Drosophila melanogaster: one gene and its partner. The protein of the gene in region 2 interacts with the protein of the main gene of each other region in a pairwise test. Each region holds a gene or a part of one and is shown on either strand. Other genes may lie near its edges.

Region 1 (5,013 bases), on a different chromosome or scaffold from region 2:
CGATATAGTGGGCGAACTTGTATAATCCACGGGTGACGCCCATTTCAGCACGTATGTACATTTATTTCCTGGCATTTTGTTCAAAATTTGCCAACGCTGCTTTATTGATCCGCTGGGATGAAAAAAGACCTGAACACGTCAGGTGGTTCACTTGGGAAAATCTGCCCGGTAACAACGCGAAAATATCAAACTTTTTTGTTAACAAACCCTAAGTACCGCCTGTCAACGGAGGAGTCGCAATCATCAAAAGTCCATCATATCAGCCGACAAAGTCACAGTACAATATGATCTATTGTCAGTCTGCCGCCTGTCTAATAATGGCTTAAGTATCTATTAAAAACAGTATTCCCGTTTTCTTTTACTGTAAGTAAATAAATTGAATAAATCGAAGCAAACTACTTAGTTGTTGAACATAATCTTCTATTATGACATATTTAAATATGAGATAGGACCCCACTAATCGATCGATTGTAAACAGAGGAAATCTTAACATAAACAAATGCTAAACTTGACTTTGCACTCGAAAGAATTTCTATTATTAAAAGAGTATTCTGAACGCCCAGATAAAACGTTGATTAGGAAACTCTGTGAAAGTGAAGAAACAATGCATTCAAATAAATCAAAAATAAATAAAACAGAAACCAGTTTAGATAAGAGGGCTTTTCATTGTCAATCAACCAACTGATGGATGGAAACCAAAGTTTGAAGCGAAACTCGAATGGCTGCTCAAATAATTATTATATAGTATTATATTACTTCGCCAGCAAAGTGAATACTAATATAGGCGTAGACCCGTGGATTTCTATATATATTATATATGCATTAATAAACACAAATCCGATAGTTGCTAGCTCGTGGCCCATAGAAAGCGGCGGAGAGTGACTTTGAATTGCATGCTAATGGCCTGCTTAAATGGTGGGATATTCGCCGGGGGGGTGGGGTTTTGGTTTGGGAGGTATGCACATACATATATATATTTTCGATCGGCCCCATTGTCTGTTCATTAGAACAGAGGCAAGTACGGCATGTTAAATATTCTGCCTGCGCCAGCAGAATTGCCTTGTTATTGCCGCTGGTGCTGCTGCTGTTGTTGTTGCTAAGTATTTCCGCTCCAAAGCAGCTCAAAACACTGAACAAAATTAAGCTATAATATTGAAAGCACACCTTAATATGTGTACTACCCTTCCGTATGATGATTATAATGATGTAGTATGCTGATCTTAAGATACCATTTTCCGCACTTTGTGTATGAAATGAGTTTGAATATGCAAACACCACGATCGCCGCACGTGGCCATCTAAGTCCTGCTGGCTTATCCGACAACACCTTAGGATACTGACCCGCTGTTGTTTGAGTTTGAATTGCGAGCATTGCGAAATGTTGGCCAAGCTACCTCCAAGTGCGCCGTATCTCCGGGCGAGATATCAGCGAAAACACATAAAATACGACTCGAAGTGCTAATGCCAAGTTCATGGGACAGTAAATCGAGGCGCAACAGCGGGTCAGGGATGTTTGGTCTCTTCTTGGGAGCACCATATTGTGGGTGGAGTTCTTCGGGCAGCGCCGTCCTGCAATTGCGTCAGTTTGGTTTCGGCTCATTAGCATGGAGATGGGCCAGCCGAATTTGGCTTAAACGTGTGCAAAACGTAAATAAACCAAATCCGACTACCATTACGAAAACATTTGCTTGCTGCGCACGTTGCATGCAAAGTTTTCAAGGAGGTGAAGTCCAGGGAAAGGGGCTGTAATCTGCGTCAATCGCCAGATAATCGTATACATCAACCAGATGGATTGTGAAACCTTCAGCAGACCCCTAACGATAACTCCTTGGGAAATACCCCACATAAAATCATCGGCGGCAGATAACAATTACACAACAGCACAACTGACAAGCAATTTACTATTTCCACGCAACAATCGAAGTGAGAGAAAAAGTCTTTTCCAGCCCACAATCTTATAAACGGTACCTCTCTTGGGAATAACCCACCGAACCTTGACTCATACGACACCTCTCTCGCGCCATAGTTCCGTCCCCCTCGCCCTATCTTTTGCTGCGTATCTAAATATTATTATAAAAGCGATTCACAAATAAGCATAGATAAGTGCAGCGCCGTTTGCTTTCGGCTCGGGTTTTACAATGGAACACGGCCAATTTTCTAGGAGCTCAGCTCGTTCAGGTGCCTCCAGGAAAATGTAAATCGCTAGCGGCATTCGGCCACCGATTCTAACTGGTTTTTGTTTTGTTTACTTGAATGAGCTAGAGCTCTCCACAGTTATGTAACAACAATTATTAAGCAAAATTGTGTAAATATTCGTACTTGAATACTATTTGATAATGAGATTAAGGAATACCCTTCGTGAAAAACGCAAAATCACAGAATTACCCAAAACAACAAATTGACCAACCACTTTGGTCGTCACTCACATGAAATCCTCGATGTCGACAAACTGGGAGAACTGGCAAGGTTGAGTGTTCGTGGGCGCGTAGCCATAGCAGTAGGCGTAGCTCCAGGGGCGGCTTTCGCGACAGGGCGTGGCCACGTTCAGAAGCGATCCCCTCTGGCGATAGAAGGCGTCCTGGGGCTGCTGCTGATGGTACGGATGGTACCTTTGCATCCCAGTGGAGGACATATTGGGGCCGAGCATAGCGCCCACGAAGGGTTGGCTTCCGGGAGCAGGGCCATTGTAGAATGACCCGTTGCCAAAGTTCACAGTGGGTTCATTGATGGGCATTGGCCCAAAAGCTGGGCCATTTCTGCTCAGCTGCCGCTGCCGCTGCGGCTTGGAATCGCACTCGTAGAAACTAGAACCGGGGATCACATCTTCGCCGTAGAACGAAATGTCGCCGGTACACGAAAAATCGCAGCTCTCGAAGGAATTAAACATTGAGTGCGCTGGAATCCGGCTAAGCCCATCGATGATGAACACACACACGCGTGCGATAAGAGCTGATAGTGTTTTGATTTGGCCACAACTTCACTGCTCCGGATATTTTGGTAGAACACGACGTACGGGAGTTCGAGCGCTAAATGAGCGAAAGGTTCCATAGCCTCGAAGCCATCATATTTATACCTGGGCAGCCGCACCAAAAAAAATCGCAAAAGAGCGGAGAGCCGACGTGAACGTCATATTCCGTGTGCTATCAGACAAGTTTGCCTATCCGGACAAGTGCGCTCCGGCCGGAGTGATAAGATAAAGTCCGGTCCGCCCGCCTCGTAGAAGCATTCAGGTGGCAGGGAGCCAGCGCTTCGGTTCTGCCCAATGGGACGATAACAGCGAATCGAGTGAGTGGCGGATTCAAATTAGAGCCATATAAATTATGTCAGTGCGCCCCACTTCAGTCGATAATTGGCTCGGACCATATAGTCTACTTTGCAGCGACGCCGGAAAATTTCCGCACGTCCAGGACCCATTTTCCGCCCATTTCCCTCGCTCACAAAGTGCAGTGCACGGCAAAGTCATGTTATAATTTTAGAATCTCTGCACCGAGAAAACAGTGCCACTCACTTCGAAGTGAAAATTTGATATAATATTCCAAAATTTTGAGTATTTAACCGCAGAACTGATGAACCATTTTTAGGTATTTCGAAAACTAACCAAAATTCGCACACACAAAATGAGAAGAAATATTAGAGAATTGATCTTTTTCACTGTGCGAGAAAAGCTGCTTGGATGACTAAATACTATCAGACTTATCCATGATTTCCCTAGTCGGCCGATAAGAACTATAACATAGGAGTTAAATATTTGGATTAGTTTGGCAAACAGCACGGAAAGTGAAACGAGATAAGGGAAGCTAGTTCCCCAGACCAAGCAAACGTAATCAAATCGCAATGTAATCAGCTCGTGGAGAAGGCAAAGGAACAGGCAGGGTCAACTTAAATCACTACGATAACCCCTTGTTTACCTGTTTATGCTACACCCGTCTATCACTAAACTATTTCGATGTTTAAATGTATTTCATATAAAAAAACAGTAAAAGTAGTTATTAACATTGTGAGCTTCTTGGGCTTCTCTTTTTGCAGATTGCCAGGAGTCCTTGTGATCGTTAGCTATGGTCTCATCTTGCATCATTCAAGGACTATCTTATAGAAGGTCTGTCAATCCTTTAGGTTGCTACAGTAACACCCGACGACGACCAATTAATTCGAAAGATGTCGTAAGAAGTTCATTGAGTTGTGGCAAGACCAGTGGTTAATACTTAATCCAAAGGAATAGCTGTTTACAACAGAACATCGTAAAGATCTTATCCATTCCCAAGAAAGAAGTTCCTTTGTTCTTGTTAATGTTGTTAGCAAAAAAATGACTTCCAAACAGGTTTCGCAATAATCTTAATCCGAAATTTTTGCTCATTTCACAAAACCTGTGGGGAATTTTCAGCGACTGATTCCAATTTATCGCCTTAAATATAAATTTAAACTTTCCCTGCCAGCAATTGCCGAATCATAACTTACACCGAATGCGATGCATATAGACCTCACACGCAACTGAACAAACGAAAAAGATTCGGAAGCTGCGCTACCTTCACGCTGTCTCCCTCACTCCGCTTATATACGTCTCTCTCGCTGCATCAAGTTCAATTTCATACAGAGAAAGAAAATTAATAGACAAATATATTGAATATGGTACAGTAAGACTAATTTATCTTTTTCTAAGAGAGCGACTGAACTTCGGATTTTACTATTTGAAATTTGATTACCAGTTATTTTTTTCAGTGCTCCAGTAGCAAGCAAGAGTGTAAGCATGTAAGGAGAAGAAGGAGAAGATCAACAATAACTCCACGAGCCTAATACTTGAATACAATGCCATCCATCTTTCTCTTTCTCCCTACATATACAATATATATGTAGTAGCACCATAACACCCCCTCGGGCGTTTCCATCCTCCCCGGATCGTCACATTTTTAGTTCGATTGCGCAAAAAGTAGGTCGTCGTGGCCAGACATGAAACAACAACAACAACAACAATAACAACAGCAGGGCATATCATTTAAATATTTTACAATACACACAT
Region 2 (4,650 bases):
AAGGACCACAGAATACCTTTGTCATGGTTAATTTTTTGAAGTTTTGCGATATATCAGCCTATGTATGGATTAGGAAATAGTGATGTATAAATGCGATCAAATGCACTGAATTCTAGAAAACTAATTTGAATTTGTTTAGGAAAAGAAAATCCCCAAAGAATACAGAACTTAGGGAGTATGGAAACAACAGTTACAAACGGTTTATTATTCACGGACGACATTGCTATTCTTTTGACCGCATGTGTACCACATAGACACAGAATCACTGGGTTACATGACACTTAGAAACAGTATAATCCATTGTATTGTAGAACCACTATCGTATTTTAAAAGTGCCCACAAATTCATACGTTACATCAGAAGGTTGCGGCATATACATATATCAGAACCAGTGAGAATTGAACAAATTATTGAAGATCTGTGACTCACAACTTTAGACACATAACACCTATATGCGCCTTTAACCAGTGTAAGCACACCCCGATTCTAGAAGATAAGTAGGGTTTTCCAGTTGCTGTAGTTGGTAGTCCATTAAAAGAGATTTTTTCTGCGAACTAATCTTACCCGACAAGTATTTTACTATTTATATACATGGCTTATCCTACGCTTAATCTACTCTAGTATACATCCATATATACCTAAGACTATATTTGCACCTTTGCTTATCAGCTAGATCAACTAGTTTGGGCGCCCGCATAATCCTTTTCACCTGGCCAGCGGCTCGAGCATCTCGAGGAACAGTTTCTTCATGGTAATGACTTCATCGCGTGCAATTCCACGCCAAAATCTTCGCAGGATATCATCCGCCTGCCGCAGCGAAGGCAGCAAAAGCAGCAATTGTTGCTGATGCGACACGGCCGACGAATGACGCAGCAAGTAGACCACATCGTTTAGAGAATTAAGAATCGTATCACGAAATGCGCGCAGGGAACTCTGATCATCCAGCAGAATGTCGCAGTTGGCCAGCAGGAGCGCCTTTAGCAAGTAGTACTCCTCCCTTCGTGGCGATATTCTTTCCATGCGCTGTGCGATCTGGACGCAGTGGTAGTAGAACTCCGTGTAACCGCACTCCTTGGCCAAATGTTCATCCATCCAGACATCCGTGGCGAAGCATAACTTGCCATTGAACGGTAGGGACCGGAAGGTCAGCTGGAGCGTCAGGATCTCTGCCCACGACACCTGGAGAAGCTTCATCTGGTCGTTAAGTGGCAGATCTATAAAGCCAGGTATCTGCTTGGCCCAGCCAATGACGCTGACCAATTCCTTGTCGTAAATATCACTAAGGACGCTTAGTATCTCATTGGGATCATTGTTGTTGTTGTTTTGGAAAATGCAAGTCCCATTGGGCGTAACAACGCTGGACTCCAGTTTTATGCTGCCCGAGGAGGATGAGGCCTCATCATTAGTTATGCTAGTCGTGTGGACTTGCGGCGGCGGCGTTTGGACGCTCAAGGCATCCGGCTCATATGAATTGAGCACCTCCAGTATCTTGACATCGCACAGCGAGGTGGTGTTGGATTGGTATAGCAGCTGCATAGTCTGGTAAGAGTTTGATACAGGATTCCTTCGGTACTTCTGCCGTCCTCCACGAACTCGATCCAAGCGCACACCCTCCTGAAAAGTTAAAGCGATTAGAGTTTAGGAACTTTAACTCGGGACTATGAAATTACCTTGAGCATGCCCATTAGTAGACATTTCTGGAAGCGACACGCTTGGCAGGCCTTGCGTCTCCGCTTGTTAATCTCACACTCGTTGTTCGCCGGACACGTGTACTCGATGTTGCCTTGGATGGTGCGTTTAAAGAACGCTTTGCAAGCCTCACAACTCGCCACACCATAGTGGAATCCACTGGCCACATCGCCACAAACCAAACACAATCGGCGGAGCTCGTCCCTGACGGATCCCGATCCAGCTCCGGCACTCGCATTGGTCGCATTTCCACCACTCGTACCACCACCTCCTCCTCCGCCATTGCCGCCACTTGTACCACTTCCTTTCAGACTATCGCCATCATTGCTTAAGGATACATTGTGCAAATCGCAGGATAGAGAGGTCGTCGAGCTGCAGAGCTGCCTTTCCGGCGAAACCGAGGGCGAGGATTTCAGGCCGTTTGTGCCACTCTGCGTGGCCGTTGACTTGGAGCTGGGACTAAAGCAGGACGCCGATGGAGTGTCCACCTCCTGTTTGATGTGCAAGATGCTGACGCCGTCGGACATGTTCGTGCCTTGGCTGGGTGAGAAAAAAAGAGTTGCGGATAAAATAAGAAATATGTTTCAACAAGTTAAAGCCTTTGATTTGAACTTCAAGAAAATGATTGATTAGATAGAGGACTCGAGATACAAGGTTTAGGATAAACGATATGGTACGATATGAGGATCAACCCAAAATGCGGAGAGAAATGAACAAGTAAAGAGTTGAAATGTGGGAAAAACGTTCAATTTCGCCAAATCACCGCGATAAAGATCGCTTTAGTTTAATGTCAAATAGAACGCGCTGCACAGTGGTAAACATAGAACCCAAAAACGGGTACTTTACAATTCCAACGCTGTTATCTGGACTTATGAATGAGTAGTGCCATTGGAGCCCACAGTGCTGGGCTAGTCGCATGAAACCTGGTCACGGAATTCTTAATGAATGCAAAACGTAATTGTAATTAAGCCGCGCAAAAACCAAAACAAACGGCGGTCCGTCCAGTGCAATTCGAATGCGATCCTCGGATTCACAAGTGAACGTATGCAAGCTCTATAGCTTACCCTTCTCCCGCGTAGAACTTCATCGGTGGTCGTGGAAAAGTACGGGACAGAAATGAACTGAAATCCGAACCGCGCGCCGTGAGTGCGATAACAGCACTGTGCGTGGAGTACCTTCCAGCTGAAGGTACTACAAATCACGACGCACAGTGCTGACATTGATTAGGCAAAAGCGAAGTAAAATAAAATCGAAAAGGGACAGTGGTGGAAGCGAAGCTTTAATACCCTAACAATTGGCAACCAATTGGAATGCCAGCACTCTGACCTCATTATCAGCTAGGCACTGAACACGAGTCTATATTTAGACTAGTCATATACAATATACATAATCTGTCTGCCAGGAAATGGTCATATATCCCTACTATCGTAAAGCTCCTACAATTAGTGTGTTGCTGCACCCAGTCAACTCTGTGTCAGGGTATAAAACGCGCGCTAGCAAAGACAATGGGGGGCAGTAGTGGTGTAGTAAGTAGACGGCGGACGACATCGGCCAGGTTGCAGATGAAAGATAAGCAGCACTAAGCACTCTGCTCTTATCAGCCCAAGGGAAGCCGAAGCCAGAAGATTGTGATTGCGGCCCAAGGTGGGCCTGTCCGCCTCTGTTTACATACTTACATAAAATCGTTCTGAGGATCTTTTGTGTAATCAGCTCCACTGTAACAACGTCAATACATATCGGCCTCCTCGACCGTTAGCATGTAGTACTTGTTTTGGTCCGAGTTGAGCACCTTCTTGTTATTGCTTATGTATTCGTTCCTCAGCATTTTTCGATGCTCGAGTCATAATTGTTTATTCACTGGTCATTATTACTGGACATCGTGGCTTTTGGCGACCATCGGTTATTCAGTTGCACTTTCTATGAGAATGCAGACAGCATCTGCATCGATTTTGTGCGCCTGGATTGGGATTTGGATTTGGCACTCGGGCAAGGCACGAAACGTCACTCTGCGCGGATACGAGTCACATTGTTTGGGGGCTCTTTATTGTGAGCATGCTGTTCTCGCTGGTTTTCGTGCAGATATTTGCATATTGGAAAGATTGAAATGTAATTTTATTTTCTTTTTTGGTGAACCAGACCTGACCAGGGCTGGCAAACACTGAACACCTATCCAGGGATGCAGACTATGCTGGCTCGTGCTCACGATTCGGTGGTTCGCTTTTCGGAACTAAAACACTGCCGCAATTACTTTACAGACTTATTTCATTTTTTAAATAAAACTTATAGTAATGTATATAATCGTTTGCATAATGTTTTACTCTAAAATAACTAACAATGGCATTTAGTTTTATTAGTTTCGTGGTAGATGCTTATCCTGAATGCAAGTGAATGATTTTCAATATGTATGCAGCTCAGGTGCAGACGCAGCCCTTTCCAGCACTGGCGCATGCAACTCTGCTCTCGATTAGCACTCCCTGGTTCGCTCTGCTCTGTTGCTGTCCCACTTGCCTTTGTGTGGGTGCTGGTGTGTGTGCAAAACAGAGCAAAAACAATTGCGCGACAAGAAATCCAAATATCATTAAACATTACGTGGATTCAGTTTAATAAACGCCTTGCAGCCAACCACTAGTCAACAGCGGTGTCCTGCGTATATTGATAGGGCCGAGGCAGAGGTGTTAGCTATACAAATAGGTACAAATAAACGATTCTCAGTCACGTATGTACATTTCGCAAGCGTTTGGGTGTGTGTGTGTGTTTTGTTTGTTGTTGTTGCTTTTATCAGCAGCCCCAAAAAGTGTACACACACTAGTGCAAAGTTTGTTATTGTATTTATTAACATATATTTACTGCTTTGGCCCACGCTTTGTTTGCGCCATTCGCTATTCCGTAATGCGCCATCGGTAAATCGCGAGATCAACACATTTCCCTGGCCGAGCAGTCCGATATAGCTAACGATTTACG

Evidence for each region.
Region 1: the proteins of ERR (region 2) and sima interact in a two-hybrid assay, tested with the Drosophila melanogaster proteins (2 studies listed by BioGRID).

What each region holds. Positions count from the first base shown.
Region 1 is NT_033777.3:30,060,951-30,065,963, reverse strand, and holds the start of sima (uncharacterized protein), read right to left. Parts: upstream 3,043-5,013; 5' UTR 2,887-3,042; coding exon 2,426-2,886; intron 1-2,425. UniProt on the Drosophila melanogaster protein: Functions as a transcriptional regulator of the adaptive response to hypoxia. Binds to core DNA sequence 5'-[AG]CGTG-3' within the hypoxia response element (HRE) of target gene promoters.
Region 2 is NT_037436.4:8,182,814-8,187,463, forward strand, and holds ERR (estrogen-related receptor), read right to left. Parts: upstream 2,858-4,650; 5' UTR 2,777-2,857; coding exon 2,754-2,776; intron 2,409-2,753; exon of another isoform or gene 2,230-2,408; coding exon 1,671-2,229; exon of another isoform or gene 1,615-1,670; coding exon 706-1,614; 3' UTR 548-705; downstream 1-547.